Linked DNA regions of Drosophila melanogaster. The protein of the gene in region 2 purifies or fractionates together with the protein of the main gene of each other region. This does not show direct contact. Each region holds a gene or a part of one and is shown on either strand. Other genes may lie near its edges. The genes, in order: RpL7, His1:CG33825, mRpL22 and Hrb87F.

What was found.
Region 1: the proteins of His1:CG33825 (region 2) and RpL7 purify together in Drosophila melanogaster (affinity purification with western blotting; one study listed by BioGRID). This does not show direct contact.
Region 3: the proteins of His1:CG33825 (region 2) and mRpL22 purify together in Drosophila melanogaster (affinity purification with western blotting; one study listed by BioGRID). This does not show direct contact.
Region 4: the proteins of His1:CG33825 (region 2) and Hrb87F purify together in Drosophila melanogaster (affinity purification with mass spectrometry, with the first as the bait; one study listed by BioGRID). This does not show direct contact.

What each region holds. Positions count from the first base shown.
Region 1 is NT_033779.5:10,199,169-10,202,825, forward strand, and holds RpL7 (ribosomal protein L7), read left to right. Parts: upstream 1-1,835; 5' UTR 1,836-1,980; intron 1,981-2,061; coding exon 2,062-2,360; intron 2,361-2,430; coding exon 2,431-2,890; 3' UTR 2,891-3,153; downstream 3,154-3,657. Other genes in the region: Ripalpha (RPA-interacting protein alpha), read right to left, coding at 664-1,068, 1,123-1,188, 1,248-1,370. UniProt on the Drosophila melanogaster protein: Binds to G-rich structures in 28S rRNA and in mRNAs. Plays a regulatory role in the translation apparatus; inhibits cell-free translation of mRNAs.
Region 2 is NT_033779.5:21,469,572-21,472,784, forward strand, and holds His1:CG33825 (histone H1), read left to right. Parts: upstream 1-1,687; 5' UTR 1,688-1,846; coding exon 1,847-2,617; 3' UTR 2,618-2,710; downstream 2,711-3,213. Other genes in the region: His3:CG33824 (histone H3), read left to right, coding at 36-446; His2B:CG33894 (histone H2B), read right to left, coding at 3,024-3,213. UniProt on the Drosophila melanogaster protein: Histones H1 are necessary for the condensation of nucleosome chains into higher-order structures.
Region 3 is NC_004354.4:16,782,229-16,785,656, forward strand, and holds mRpL22 (mitochondrial ribosomal protein L22), read left to right. Parts: upstream 1-1,704; 5' UTR 1,705-1,846; coding exon 1,847-2,116; intron 2,117-2,189; coding exon 2,190-2,403; intron 2,404-2,517; coding exon 2,518-2,735; 3' UTR 2,736-2,864; downstream 2,865-3,428. Other genes in the region: CG9609 (uncharacterized protein), read right to left, coding at 3,251-3,428.
Region 4 is NT_033777.3:13,656,291-13,662,333, forward strand, and holds Hrb87F (heterogeneous nuclear ribonucleoprotein at 87F), read right to left. Parts: upstream 4,242-6,043; 5' UTR 4,098-4,241; coding exon 4,050-4,097; intron 3,359-4,049; coding exon 2,347-3,358; intron 2,275-2,346; coding exon 2,177-2,274; 3' UTR 2,172-2,176; intron 2,008-2,171; 3' UTR 556-2,007; downstream 1-555. Other genes in the region: Rbp4 (RNA-binding protein 4), read right to left, coding at 1-14; B52, read left to right, coding at 5,444-5,569, 5,871-5,941, 6,007-6,043. UniProt on the Drosophila melanogaster protein: This protein is a component of ribonucleosomes. Could be needed to organize a concentration gradient of a dorsalizing morphogen (Dm) originating in the germinal vesicle.

The DNA.
Region 1 (3,657 bases), about 11 Mb from region 2:
GCCCGAACTCGAGAAGATATTGCACTGATCTGAATCTGAATCTGAATCTGGGGGATCGCGCACGTGCGCGATGGGAAAAAGCTCTTCCCACATCGCCGGAATCGTGGGGTGCCAGCCCACTGATACCATCGACCCATATATGATGCACTAAATCAACTCGAAGCGAACCAGAAGTTATAAGCAATTAATAAATAGTTTGTTAAACTTTACAATAAGCAGAGAAAAACGTTTTATATTCATAAATCAAACTTAGTCTCGCACCTGATTTATTTTCTTAATCTAGAATGCCACATTAGAAGAATGGTTTAGTTTGAATTTTGTAAGAGCCTAGAATACATTTTATAAATCTGTTATTCCTAAGATTTTAATTTTAATTTGTTGTGCAATTATAACAATATGCTTAAAGATCTCATTTCTAGCCATAACTCATATCATTCTTTGGATTTAGATTAATTAGGGGGGGAATATCATGTATCACTGTTTCAAAAATTTAATACGCATATAAAGCCTTCGGATCTAAAAAATCTTCTGTGCAGATCTCTGGTTTTCCAAACTGATAAGACTGTCTGAAGTTTAACTTATGTAACTTATCTTATTATAACTAATAAACTCCTTTAAACTAGCTATCAGCAGTCAGCGGTAGAAACCAGCTCCATAAACGACCTAGACGGAGGAGAAGTAGTCGCAGCTGCCGCACATGTCGTATAGTTGTCCCGAAGCGGGTTCGATGAAAAATCGCAGGGCCTGAGTGCACTGAAGTTCATGGCTGGCGATTTGTTGTTGCAGCAGTATCTGCAGCTGTTCCATGTTCGCAGAGTGCTCGAAGCGGATGCCACACTCGCAGATGAAGGCACCTTTGTGATGGCGTAGGTTTTTAATCTGACAAACTGGGCATAAAACCTCCTTTTGCTGCTCATCGGGCTCTGCGTATAGCGTTTCCAGATTCTTTTCGCCCAGGGCATACCACTCGTTGACATCGGATAGTAGCTCCTCCAGAATCAGCTCCTCAAGCTCCACATCCTTCTCTAGCTCACTGAGTTCCAGGCGCAGGATTTCCCTGAGTTCGGACTGAAAAAATGGGTGGTTTATGATGGGCTTACTATGGAGATTTGTATGTCCTACCAATTGGATTTCTCGTTGGGCATCCGTGCATCTATTGCGCGTTTCTATGATGCGCTTGCGGTATTTCTACAGGGTATTTATGTGTAAGTATATTGGTACTTTAAGGGGTACACTGATGTCTTTACCTCTCGCAGCATTTCGCGAAGTCTTGGCATTTGGTTGCCCATCCGCTGTCTTTTGGCCACTTCTTGAGCATGCCGCTTTTGCTCCACGGAGGTGCGATAAACCGGGCTTTGAGTGGAGTTCATTTCGGTTTATTTGTATATGTGGTTATTTTGTTTGTTTTTAATCTTTTTTTTTAACTAGATATGGTAGGTCAGTGTCGTCAATAAGGCAAGGTTCCAATTTTATAGCGCTGTTGGTGATTGATAGTGATCTAAAAAGTATACGGTATTCAAAATTAATTAGGTAAATTAAGTGAAATGAAGTAAATGTAAGATACGACTCATCTCCACATATATATAAAAGATTATAAAATAAGTAGTATTACTTAACACAGCCCATGAAGACAGCTCGCACAATGAATTCATGAACTAAGGGCGGCTTAAATACACTATTAACATGTTTAACCAACTTACCTAGTAATTAGCAATCGGAAATAGTTGAAAAACACAACTTTTTTGCTAAAAAAAAAAATCCGCGCAATTTGCTGTTGCTCTGCTAGTGGTGGCACTTCTTCGATAGCCCACTCCGCGGCCAGTGTGACCGTTTGGCCGATGGCGCGCGTGTCACGTGTGCACGCATTTCGCAGCACTGAAAGCAGGGTTGTACCGATTTGACAGCCCGAAGTTGGCGTATAGCACGTTTCCGGTCTTTCTTTCCCTTTCTTTTACCAGCGTGTGCAGTGACTAGTAAAAGGTTAGTGCGATATTTTCAATAAAAATACCATCCAAAGTGAAAGGAAACCGCTCAAATGCCATTGTTTTGTGCCGCCCACAGATGCCTGCTCCGGTCGTCAAGAAGCCAGCAGCGAAAAAGCTGCCCGCCGTGCCGGAATCGAAGCTGAAGTTCAGCAAGAAACAAATCTCCAAGCGAGTCGCCGAGTCGAAACGTCGCCTGAAGAAGGCCGCCGTGATTGCCCTGCGCAAGAAGGAGAACCTGGTCCGCGCCGAGAAGTACCAGAATGAGTACATCAAGGCGGAACAGCGCGAGATCAAGCTGCGTCGCTTGGCCAAGAAGCGCAACCAGTTCTACGTGCCCGCCGAGGCCAAATTGGCCTTTGTCGTCCGTATCCGCGGGTAAGTCCTCTAATGCTCCTCCATGCACAAGTCACACCAATTCATGCCCAATCCCATTAACCGCCAACAGTATCAACAAGGTGGCTCCCAAGGTCCGCAAGGTTCTGCAGCTGTTCCGTCTGAGGCAGATCAACAACGGTGTGTTCATCAAGCTGAACAAGGCCACCATCAACATGCTGCGCATCGCCGAGCCCTACATCACCTGGGGCTATCCCAATCTGAAGTCCGTGCGGGAGCTGATCTACAAGCGTGGATTCGTGAAGCATAACCGCCAGCGCGTGCCCATCACCGATAACTTCGTGATCGAGCGGAAGCTGCGTCAGGCGCACCAAATTCAGTGCGTCGAGGATCTTGTCCATGAGATCTTCACCGTGGGGCCCAACTTCAAGTACGCCTCCAACTTCCTGTGGCCCTTCAAGCTAAACACCCCCACCGGCGGCTGGCGCAAGAAGGCCAACCATTATGTCAACGGTGGTGACTTCGGCAACCGCGAGGACCAGATCAACCGTCTGCTGCGCAAGATGGTCTAAGGACTCCTTTTGATTTATGTGCTGAAACGACAACTGCAGCGGTTCGATGTAAACAGTGAGAGAAATAAAAGTTACTTTTATAAACCCACGAAATGCCGTTCAGTACAAAAACGCAGTGTTTTCGCTTCGATTCGCTGATTTAGTCATTGCGACTTAAATTGGAAAATATCAGTGAAGAGAGAGAGGACTTTTTTAAGGAACGTTTAGTTAAATGTACCAATAGTTTCATAACAACTTTAAATTTAGTAATTTTCTTTCATTTTAATGTTACATTTTTACTTTAAAGAATTCTGCGGTACTCCAGAAAGTCTTGCCCTTTGCTAAGATTAACCCCACGTTCAGTATAATTTTTTGGTTTGCTAATCGTTAATAATTCGATGTATAGCAATATTTAAATTTAAAATTTAGACAGTTTGCTTTTGTAGGCCCATTATTTGAAATGAAAACACAGGATTCTTGTTAATTTGTCTACGCTCTAGATTGTTTATTGTTGTTCTGGTCAAATTTTAAGCGCGCTTAGTGCACAACACTTAAATGCAGATAGCAAGCTAGATTCAGGGTGCCAGGGATAAAAATCGTTTGCCAATGTACACTTTATTGAATCATGGTTTGCCTTTCAGCTGGCAGTGGATTTAAATCGTTTTTTTTTTTTTTACACACACAATAGTCCAAAGCAGTTAGCAAACAAACATAAATTGTAAATTCCAATAGCATGGAAATTAGTCAATAATCGGGAGGAAGCTGGCACCCTTTTTAAATGTATAATT
Region 2 (3,213 bases):
AGTGAACGTGAACTTTAGTGAAACCCAAATCGGAGATGGCTCGTACCAAGCAAACTGCTCGCAAATCGACTGGTGGAAAGGCGCCACGCAAACAACTGGCTACTAAGGCCGCTCGCAAGAGTGCTCCAGCCACCGGAGGTGTGAAGAAGCCCCACCGCTATCGCCCTGGAACCGTGGCCTTGCGTGAAATTCGTCGCTACCAAAAGAGCACCGAGCTTCTAATCCGCAAGCTGCCTTTCCAGCGTCTGGTGCGTGAAATCGCTCAAGACTTTAAGACGGACTTGCGATTCCAGAGCTCGGCGGTTATGGCTCTGCAGGAAGCTAGCGAAGCCTACCTGGTTGGTCTCTTCGAAGATACCAACTTGTGTGCCATTCATGCCAAGCGTGTCACCATAATGCCCAAAGACATCCAGTTAGCGCGACGCATTCGCGGCGAGCGTGCTTAAGCTGACACGGCATTAACTTGCAGATAAAGCGCTAGCGTACTCTATAATCGGTCCTTTTCAGGACCACAAACCAGATTCAATGAGATAAAATTTTCTGTGGCCGACTATTTATAACTTAAAAAAATAAGAACAAAATTCATATTCTATTATTTATGGCGCAAACGGTACTGGGTCTTAAATCATATGTAAAAATACTAATTCTGCCAGAGAAGGAATAAAAATAATCTTATTTTAATTGTCAGCTCAACATTTATTAAATTAAAGAAGAGGTTAATACAAAAATATATATTTTTATTTGTTCTTTGTGCGAACATCCTTTAAAGCAGTGAAAGTGTCGTGCGGGGCAAGGGACTCTGAACCTTAAACATCTAAAAAAAAAATCTGAATTCTGTGTAAGACAGTTTGAAATTAATGAAATTACATTGATGACGGCAATATTTATAAAATAACAGAAAATAATAAAATAAAACTAGCTATTTTATATTTTTTCCATGTGTTAACTGAAGAATGTGTTATTATTGAAGAGGTCGTACGGGACAATTGACACTGTCCCTTCAAACGTCTGTAAAAAATAAAACCTATGTAAAATTCAGCACGGAAATTGGTTAATTTTGTTGCGGAATGTAATATATATTACATAATAAAGGATAATACAAAAATTGTTTCTTTTTATTTTTTATTTGATTTATTTATTTGACTACATAGACGGTAATGCATATGTGGCGAGGAAATCGATTGATTTCAGAACAAATTATTTTAAAATATGCATGAAAACACATTAATAACAAGCAAACACATTAATAATTTAAGAAAATATTATTTATTATATTAATATTATGTTATTTAAGAAAGTATCTGTATTTTTAACGATCGAAAATTATTTCTGAATGCTGCTTTAAAGCAAATTTTTCTGTAGTTCAATGTGAACTTAAATCAAGTGATAAAGTATCTTAATTAATAATAGACGCTTCTTTCAGAAGCCCTTTCTAGGGGATGAACGTTTCAATTTTAATAAACATTACGAATTAGTGAAATATTTGCGATGATTCTTATTTTATTAGATGTTTTTTTATAAATTGGTCCAGTTAAAAATTCGAATATAAAAATTCAATCAACATTTGAAAGTCTCAAAACCCATATTACATCCTTTTAAAAATGGAAAGTGACGAAAAAATTATTTAAAATTGTAAAACTATTAAAACCTTATTTTTATTAATGATTTAAAATACTAAAAAATTAAAAAGAGTTTACACTTCAAGCAAACTTCGACATAGTAAATGACTGATGTCAGTAGCATTGTTAAAGTGCTCTCCTCCTCGATTCTCATCAGAGCAAAGGAGGTTGGTAGGCCGAGCGCGAGCCATTTTTAACAGAAAAAAAGTGTTCTCAGTGAAAAAAAGATGTCTGATTCTGCAGTTGCAACGTCCGCTTCCCCAGTGGCTGCCCCACCAGCGACAGTTGAGAAGAAAGTGGTCCAAAAAAAGGCATCTGGATCTGCTGGCACAAAGGCAAAGAAAGCCTCTGCGACGCCGTCACATCCGCCAACTCAGCAAATGGTGGACGCTTCCATTAAAAATTTAAAGGAACGTGGCGGTTCATCACTTCTGGCAATCAAAAAATATATCACTGCCACTTATAAATGCGACGCCCAAAAGTTAGCGCCATTCATCAAGAAGTACTTAAAATCGGCCGTGGTCAATGGAAAGCTTATCCAAACTAAGGGAAAGGGTGCATCTGGATCTTTCAAACTGTCGGCCTCTGCCAAGAAGGAAAAGGATCCGAAGGCAAAGTCGAAGGTTTTGTCTGCTGAGAAAAAAGTTCAAAGCAAGAAGGTAGCCTCTAAGAAGATTGGTGTCTCCTCCAAAAAAACTGCCGTTGGGGCTGCTGACAAAAAGCCCAAAGCTAAGAAGGCTGTGGCTACCAAAAAGACTGCCGAAAATAAGAAAACTGAGAAGGCAAAAGCCAAGGATGCCAAGAAAACTGGAATCATAAAGTCGAAGCCCGCCGCAACAAAGGCGAAAGTGACTGCAGCGAAGCCAAAGGCTGTAGTAGCGAAAGCGTCAAAGGCAAAGCCAGCGGTGTCTGCAAAACCCAAAAAGACGGTGAAGAAAGCATCGGTTTCTGCTACCGCCAAGAAGCCGAAAGCGAAGACTACGGCTGCCAAAAAGTAAATTGTGAAAAAGTGCAGTATTTGGTACATGTTCGCAATTAAAATTTTAGATTTATGTTTTATAGATCTGAAATTTGTTTAAACAAGTCCTTTTCAGGGCTACAACGTTCCGTTGCAAGAGAAAAAAACTTTTATTTTCTTCCACTTATTTATTAGCTGACGTTCGCAGCAACAATAAAACGTTTCATGTCATGAATTACATTGCATGTTGGTCGCATTCAGTTTTCGTTCCCGATTTTTTTGTATTTATTTGAACATTACCCAATTACCCATATTGCGGGTAAATAAGTTTTATTTGTAAATTCATATTCAATGATTGGTGGTTGAAAAATGCATTTCTTTGGTATAACACATTGTGGCCCTGAAAAGGGCCGTTTTGGATTATTGTCCGCATTCGCAGGAGAAAATTATTTAGAGCTGGTGTACTTGGTGACAGCCTTGGTTCCCTCACTGACAGCATGCTTGGCCAACTCTCCAGGCAAAAGCAGGCGAACAGCCGTTTGGATCTCCCGACTGGTGATGGTCGAGCGCTTGTTGTAGTGAGCTAGACGAGACGCTTCGGCAGCAATTCGCTCGAAAATATCATTTACAAAGCTG
Region 3 (3,428 bases), on a different chromosome or scaffold from region 2:
TATTGATTTTGGCTTTTGTGTTTGTGTTTTTTTGTCAGATTTTGTTTAATATGCGTATATTTTGGGAATTTATTTGGTCGGTGCACTTTTCACTGGTGCTGCAACACTGGAAAAAAATGTTTCAAGCAATTTGTTGGCGCGTCGCGTGTTGTGCTGTTAATAAGTAAAGTTCACTTTCAATTGGTATTGTTTGTATTATTTATATTTTGATTTGCTATTTGACATTTGGTGTTTGCTCTACCTCGGCAGCGAACGCAGCAAGATTTAAACGACGACTAATGGCGCACAGTATCTGTAAGATACATCTTAGCACCGCCAGAGATACATGGGTGAACTGCTCGTGCCAGATCGCCTACTCAATACCCAACCAATGTAGTCTCTAGTTTTTAGACTCGGGAGAGCGATCTCGGAACAAACGCAAAGCTCTCAAACAACCAAAACGATAGCAAAAGTTTTATTTTTTCATTATCTACACATGTATGTAGCGAGCATCCCACTCGAAAAAAATTTCAAAGGTGAGTTTCGTGTGGGAAGTCTGTAATTTCCGTTAGCAAAAGTTTCGACCATTTGATGTGTCATTTTGTTGGGCCATATGTACATATGGAAGAACGTTTATTTCGAAAATGGAATCACATATAAATTTATGATTTTTATGTTCATATACACAAGCTTATATCCATTCGGAAATTAAAAAAATGTATATATTTTTTAAAATTCGAAAAAGGTAAATACACTTTTTTCAAAGTTTTAACTAAATGAGCTTTGAAATCTATAAGTTTTAATTGCACGATATGCAACATTTTCGCATGTGCGTTGGTGCAAATTAATTCTGCCTCGAAAATGAGAACGCTGCAGTGAAAATGGGTTTTCCCATTTATCCAGATGGTTTAGATTCGCAATCACGAGATCTCGGAATGTAGTGCAATTCGACTATACGAGCAAATTCGCCGGCTAACCGAGGCAGAGCAAACTGGCAATGCAAATTAATGAAAACAAACAATGAGCCCTCGAAACTCCGGTAAACATTTTCGATGGCTGGATATATGTATCAGATAACACGCAAATATAAATGTTTCGCCGTTCAATTACCATCGATTGCATTTGCATACGCGAATTTGAATCAAAACTGGCGCCCGTTGAATTTCCGTTTCGAACGCGAGCGCTCCGCACTTTACACCAGGCAACTTTCGCTTCACGCCACCGAATGCAGCACTCAGATGGCTAGCAATTCCTCAGATACAATTTCAAATTTCACGCAGGGATGCCAGATCGTTGGGCGATTCAAAAGTGAGCGCGACGCGCTGTTGAGAACGATCAACTTAAGTGTATAATATTGAACTAGAATAGTTACATAGTGCATAAGGAATATTTATGTCTTTCAATTTTAATATACTTTAAAGATGGTCAATTCCAAATGGGTACTTTAATTGTTAGGTTTCATATTTTTATGAAAATGTGTATTAATTGCTAATTTGTGTGGAGATAAATGTTTCCGTTTCAATGCATTATTTTAATGGCTTCTAAATGTGAATTGCTGATATGCTCTTATTTAAGTTAATAATTTTATGTCGTACCAACTTGCTTTTACAAGTTTTTTTTTAAATCTAATAAATAAATATATTTTCAAGCAATATCGATAGCGCTGCCAGATGTTTACATATCCTAATCAAACGCTGCCATACCGCTCGCAGATCAGCCGCTTGTGCGGTACGTTTTAGGTCCACGGCATACCTGCTGCCATTGGTCACACTGGCAGATTACGCGATTATTTTTTTTACGGAAAGTCTGCGTTTTCCCTTCCGGATTGAATTGCCTGGATTTGCTGTGATAACTCAAGCAAGCTAAGATGCACAAGGTGATCCGGCAAATGTCCCAGCTGCGCCTGCAGGCGCCACAGGGAGCAGCGCTCCTCCGATCGGCGGATAGCAGCTCAATATCACCAGCCATATCACCAGTTTCACCACCTGCCCTCCAGTCGAAATCCCTGCACACGGCCGCTTCCGCCGGAATGCTGTGCGCCAAGTGGAACAAGTACAACTACGGACCCCGCAAATGGCTGGAGTACAACAAGACCGTGCATCCGCCGCAGGAAACGGACGAGGAGCCCAGAAATGCTGTAAGATACATATTTCGAACGCACTGCTGTTACCCCTCCAGCTGCAATCCTCTAATCCACTTGCATTGCACAGTATGTCTGCCACATGCGCAGCAACATCAAATACAGTCCGGACAAGATGTGGTACATCGCTGCCTTTGTTCGCGGAATGTCCGTCGACGAGGCGCTGAAGCAGCTGAACTTTGTGCTCAAAAAGGGGGCCACCGATGTGAAGGAGACCATACTGGAGGCCCAGCAAATAGCCGTGGAGCGGCATAACGTGGAGTACAAGAGCAATCTGTGGATAGGTGAGCCGCAGGGGCACAAGGAATCTATGTATCCACTATGAATGATGGATTATCATTAGTTTCTTCATCACTAACCATTATATTGATGAATCTTTGTCTGTTCTTACCTACCAGCCGAATCCTTCGTGGGCAAGGGACGCGTCTTCAAGGGCGTGAGGCGGCATGCTCGCGGTCGCTTCGGCAAAGTGGAGTACAAGCACTGCCACTACTTCGTGCGCCTGGAGGAGGGCGAGCCGCCGCAGCACTACTACCAGGAGCCGCAGACGCCGGAGCAGCAGTACGAGAGCTGGATGGAGCAGATGCGAAGCCGGAAGATCATCAACTCGCTGTAGCCACCTGAATTGGCACTCGTATGCAATCGATCCGCACTCCTGCAGTCCTCCATCGCCATCGCGTCCACGCGCATTAAGCATTTTTTTTGGTTTTAGAAGATTGTTTAATAAAATAGAAACAGACAAAAGAACTATGTCAGAGGTTCATATTGTTCTTATTTTTACTTAGAGGAGTTTATTTTATTTAGTTTTGCGCGTATATACACAATGGATATTATTGGTTTTCTCTCTGGATGCCCGAGAGTTTCGGAACTCTAGTTGAAGTCAGGGAATGTTTGCAACTGTAAGCTTAAAGTAAATAAACTAATTCGCTCCAGGCGAATACTACTAATAATAGCTTACTAATTTATGCAAATTAATGCAATTTCGGATGTTTCTGAACGCAAATCCTAAGTATTTACTGATAAATTAGTTGTTTCTCTTTTAGAAGTTGTGGTTTAAATTAAAGTAGTCATTCAATTGTTAGCCTCTTGACCAGACCTTCTCACTCCCGTCCCTTTGAATGGCCTTTTGCTCTACTCCTGCTCCTTTTCCTCTTCATCCTGCAGGGTCTGTGCCAGCAGCTCCTCGACGGGGTCATCCTTCAGCGACTGGGTGATCTTTTCGAGGACCAAAGGCTGTCGCTCGCGCACCGCCTCATCATCTTCCTTGTCCAATTGCAGGCAGGCCAGTTTGGATAGCCTCGAATGTTTG
Region 4 (6,043 bases), on a different chromosome or scaffold from region 2:
TTTCCCGCATCCATTTTCGAAGAGATGTCAAAATTAAAATAGCCTGATTTACTACAGCACTCAGGTGAAGCCAACCACAAATTGAATGACAGGCAAGAAAATCCAAACGTCTATAGTTATGGACTATCGAAAAAGGTCCAAAAATATTGTTGCCACATTTAGATGATTCAGCATTATTGGATGCAAATGGGCCAATAAATCGATAGGGTTTGAATCCTTAAAGCGTAACCCTATAAATCCCTATAATATCGCCTCTTTTGCTTCGTAGTCCTAGCAAAAAACCCTACTTATGCATTATTAGAAGAAAAACCCCATTGATCTCATAAGAATTTAGTTCGTAATACAATCCAGAAAGCTAGGTCCTTCGAAAACCGGCTATAATCCACTGAACATTTATGGTATTCATAGAACAAATTGTTCTTGGTAGTGAAAGTTCTTGTCACTTTTAGATGATTCAGCATTATTGGATACAAATAGGCCAATAAATCGATAGGGCCTAAACCCTTATACGTAACCCTATAAAATATCGCCCCCAGAAAATAAAATACAGCTCTTGTTCTTGCTAGTAAAAGTTGTACTTTATTGAAAAATTCAGAAACAAATGAGGTGTTAGTAGAATACCGACTAGTTACCTTCACTTACCTCCGCTGTACCCACCAAGTTAGCCAGAAGGGAGCCACCAACCAAAGTCCACCAGTGAGTTCTTCCTGGGCCACCGCTTGCTTTGCGGTCTAAAACCATTAACTAATACCTGGTGGAAACGAACCGGTGCGTGGAGCAGCCCAGATTTCGTATACGGACCCGGGAGGGAGCTTCCGTCCGTAGCCCGGCCAGTCTTGCAAAGAAATAGTCAGTGCATTAGTATGCGGCGGTTTGCCCGGGGGTTAGGTGGTGGGGGTCTCTAGTGACGGTAATTAGCCCTGCCCGCTACCCTGCCGATCTGGGATGGATCGGAAAACCCGGATTTTGCTGCAGTTGCTGCTCCTCTTTGCTAGGGCATTGCTCCTGTGATTATTTCGTTTCGTTTCATTTTGGGTGGGTAGGTAACATTGGTTAGGATTTTATTTTGCTTGTATCTCTTTGTCGCTTTCGTTTCACTCGTAACGAACTAATTACAGAATGTTTGTGATATTTGTTTAGCGTTTTTCTTTTTAGTCTGGCTTAACGTAGCATCTACTTCTTAGGGACTAACAGAGTTGGTATGCATATATGGATTTTGCTCGCTAGGACACCATTTCTCGGCCACTGTGCAGCCTGTACACAAATGTGCGTGGCATTCGCATTTCAGGAGTTGGGATCTTACTTGCCACAAATCATAAAGGTTCTTAGTTGTACAAAAAAAGTGATTACAAAATATGGTACTATTTGATTTCTTACATTTCGCTGGATCGCTAAAAACAATAAAATCATGAATAAATATAAAGAAAGTGCTCTACCTTATAACACCCTTACAACGACTGAATCTCAAGGAGAATCCGTCGCCGCTCAGTTGGTAGTCAATTTTGTACAATAAAATTATTGTTTAATTTATATTTTGTTGTGTTTGTTTCTTTTGTTTGTTTATGGTTAAAACTAAGCGTTCGGGGTTCTTAGGACCCTAAACATAAATCGATCAGCGAATTATTAATGGTTACAAAAGAGAGATAGCAGCATTCAAACTGTGGACAAGTGGCGTCGATTGGATTTCGTTTCGTTTCGCTTTTGGCTGTTTTGCTTGACGCATAATCATTTGCTTGGTGCTTTTGACAAGTGGATTATGGCTATAGCCTGCAGGTTGCGGCCGGACCCAAACCTGATTGATTGATTTATCGTTTGCATTTGCGCACGGCCTGGTTCTTGGTTCTGCATCTTGATTTCTTGGTTCTGATCTTGTCTGCCTGGTCTGACACACACATGCTACTGATTGCCTGCCTGTGAATGTGCTTGTCCCTCTGCATCTGCCTGCCTAGACTGCCTGTTTGTCGTCTAGCTTGAACTGACACACTCTCTCTCTCTATGTGTGTTTACCTAGTTGCGAAAGAGGAGAAAATTTTGCATTAGCTTCGAATCGTTCCGAAATGAGTTTGATTGCATGGCTAGGCTACCAACTAGCTGCCAATAACGACCAAAGATCCGAGCGTTTGAGATTGTACGATGGGATAGGACCTGTCGTCCAGGTTATCTATATTTACCTTGTCTAGTAACGTCTATTGCCGCCTCCCATATTTCCACCCTGGCCACCACCTCCGGTGTTGTAGTTGTTGCCAGCAAAGCCTTGACCTCCACCCTGGTTACCTGTAAAAAATAAATGCATGGTTTAAGTACATTATGTACATTATGGTCAAATCACTTAATAACCCAACATACCCTTGTTGAATCCTCCACCACCACCTCCTTGACTGTAAGGAGCTGGACGGTTGTTGCCAAAGTTGCTGTTGCGCTGTGGACCGCCGCCGTAGCTCTGCTGGTATTCATTTCCGAAGCCACCGCCACCACCACCTCCACCACCGTTACCGCCCCAGCTGCCATTGCTGTTTCCGCCGCCGTAGCCGCCGCCACCACCACCGTTCCAGCCGCCGTTGCCGCCACCCTGGTTATTCCATGGACCACCTCCGCTTCCGCCTTGCTGATTCCAACCGCCAGAGCCGCCGCCCTGACCGCCTCCAAAGTTACCGCCGCTGTTGCCGAATCCTCCGCCGCCGCCAGCTCCGCCCCAGTTGCCCCCACCGTTCTGTCTGTTCTGGCCTCCCCAGCCACCGCCTCCCTGGCCGCGGTCACCCTGACCACCGCGACCGCCAGCTCGAGGACCTCCGCGTCCGCCACCTCCGCCCTGTCGATCCATATCCTGCTTGGCAATAGCCTTCTTCACGTCCAGGGTCTTGTTCTTGATGGAGTGGGTCTTCTGAAGGATGATTTTGTCAACGGGATCGTAGTCATCGAACTCAATGAAGGCGAAGCCGCGCTTCTTGCCGGTGTCCTTGTCGGAAACAATGTTCACGCTCACGATCTGGCCAAAGTCCTTGAAGTACTCGCGCAGGCACTCTTCATCGTGATCGTCTCGAAGCCCGCCCACAAAGAGCTTCTTTACCGTGGCTCCCGCATTCGGGGAATCGATCTCCTGGCGTGGCACAGCCCTCTTGGGCTCCACGGTGCGTCCATCGATCTTGTGTGGCCTGGCATTCTGCGCATTGTCGATCATGTACGACTGGGAGTACGTGATGAAACCGAAGCCGCGAGAGCGCTTCGTCTTGGGATCCTTCATCACCACCACGTCGACAATGTTGCCCCACTTCTCGAAGTGAGCCTTCAGGCCATCATCTGTGGTGCGGTAGTCCAGTCCGCCGATGAACAGTTTGCGCAGCTGCTCTGGCTCGGTGATCTGCGGGTGAATTTCAAATGCATTAGCTAAAGACGTTCTATAATTTAAATAATTTCTAAAAACAAAAAAAAAACCCATTGATTCGAAAATAAGTTGTAATATTAAATTAAATTAATTGATTTCTTTGGACAAACTTTGCGAAAAATGTATAAATTTATATAATAAAAAAAAAAATCATACTGTATCTAAATGAATAAATGTATAAAAAATATTTAAATGTATAATAAGTTGCTGTAAATTTAATAAAAAAATAAGTTGCTGTCAATAAGTCAATAAGTTTATGTCAATAAAACGATAAAAGTGCAAAATCATCCTTGATCAACAAGGATTTGCCATTGTTTATAATAGTAATTTACCTGGCGAGAAAAAGCCGCTCGCCATATTTTTTTTTTTTTTTTTTAGTATTTGCACCGCCATGACAGCCCGTATATGTGTATGTATGTATGAATTTTCGTTTTCTTTTTTATCAAACAGCCGGCAACTTTTTTATCGGAAATTGCTTATATTTCTCGCCAAAAGAGGTCGATAAACTTTTAGCTGGCTAAATTCGCACAGGGATCGATGGCCCCCATAATTCGGTAAAAAAGCGGCGTGAATGTATATTATACACGAATATTGTCGGCGTCGACATTTTGCACTTTCACGCGCGATGAACGATTTACAAACAGCAATTGGTCATTCTGCAACTCACCTCTTCACCATCGTCGTAGTTTCCGTTGGAATCGTTTTGTTCCGCCATTCTCTCCTTGGTTGTTCAAGAAGATGGAAAGTTTAAACACCGAACGCAGGAAATATTTTTTTTGTTTTTGTTCTTTTTTGACGGCAGACTGGCAATAAATGAAATGTACAGCACGCACAATGAGAATGGAGTGAGCAGTATGACCAGGTGTCGAGAACGGGGTAAAGTCGGAAAATCGGACGCCACGTGGAATCGGAACGATTGTTTCGGTGCGTTAGGGGTGTTCCTCGACAATTAAGCTGATGCCACACTTGATTTTATATATCTTCATATAAATTTGTATTCGTCTAGTAAGGGCTTAAAAATATTAGACAAGTTTATTGTATATATTTCTGAACAAACGGATTTGAATGTATTATCTTTATAAATGGATTATGATAATTACTACCACGATAACCCAAGAAACATTTAATATGTTTAACTTTTTAGCTAAATATGTATTATTATTAATACCGCTTACATAACTCTTTCTGCGAGCATTCGCTTTAGCTGGGGCGATGGAAGGCTTCACTTTAAGAGATAACTTGTAAATTATTTTGTATTGAATTGTATATTTGTAAGTAGCCAGCTAAGGGTCAATCAATATTACAATTACGGGATCTATGAGGCATTTGGGAATAAAAAAAGACATCGTGCGAAATAAATTAATAAATCCAGAAACATTTTATGTATATCATCAAATCAGAAACGTTAAAAAATGCTAATGAGTGCTTGCTAGCAGATATCAAAATAAAAAGGTTGTTAACAGTATATTCAAATGCTACTACTAAGTATATTTAATGTTTATTCTTTTCATAGCGGAACACGAACAGCAACTGGAATACCCTTAACGCAGCGAAACGCATTGCCCGCCCAAAATATCGATAGGCGAAAAAGTATCGTTCCATTCCGCCTTTGGAATGACTGTCAAACATCGCTTTCGTCTGTCACTTTCACTTCCGTTTGTGTCGAGTCGCTTGCGTTTTTTCGTGTGGGAAAGCCTGAAAAAGAGAGAGTACGGCAGCGACTTAATTGTAAATTTGCCACAAATATCCTTCACTGAACGGTACGTGCTAGTGAGTACGCTTAAGTGAAGAACAGCGCGTATTTCGCGTTGTTAAATTAACTCGTTTTTGCAGCGGTTCTGTACACCCGGTACATTGCGAGCGTGTGTGTGTGTATGTGGTGGCCGCCATCTTGGCGAAACATACACGGCGCGTACATATGTGCGTTTTTTTTTTCTTCCATTCCTAAAGGACAGTCGAGCAAAATAGAAGCTGCAAACTGCAACGGTTCCCTTGCTGATATATATATATATACTTCACTATTTTATAGCACCTGCTCCAGATACGTAAGGAACCGTTATCATGGTGGGATCTCGAGTGTATGTGGGCGGTCTGCCCTACGGAGTGCGCGAGCGCGATTTGGAGCGCTTTTTCAAAGGCTACGGCCGCACACGCGACATCCTCATCAAAAATGGCTACGGCTTTGTGGTGAGTACAAAATATCATATTTAACTGGAATATGTAAAAAAAAAAAATCGGTTAAATTTGATTTGAAGACATTTCTGCATTTCTCTGTTTGTCTATAGGTTTCCTAACATTTCAAGCCGACCCTTGAATACTTTTTTTTTCTTTTTGAACCTATATTTGTTCCATCATTTGTCTGTCAAATACAGTGACGCTTAAAAACTGTTCTTAAATTCACCCAGCGTATTTCCATAAGAGTATGCACAGGCAGGGTAGCTTCAATACTAATTCCATAATCAATACTAATCACTAATTGAATTTTCAGGAATTCGAAGACTATCGTGATGCCGACGATGCCGTCTATGAACTGAATGGCAAAGAGCTGCTTGGCGAACGGTGAGTTGTTAGATATAAGCCAAAGTACGAAATGACTCACGATTGTATGTTCTATATTTTTGCAGTGTGGTTGTTGAACCCGCCAGGGGTACCGCTCGTGGC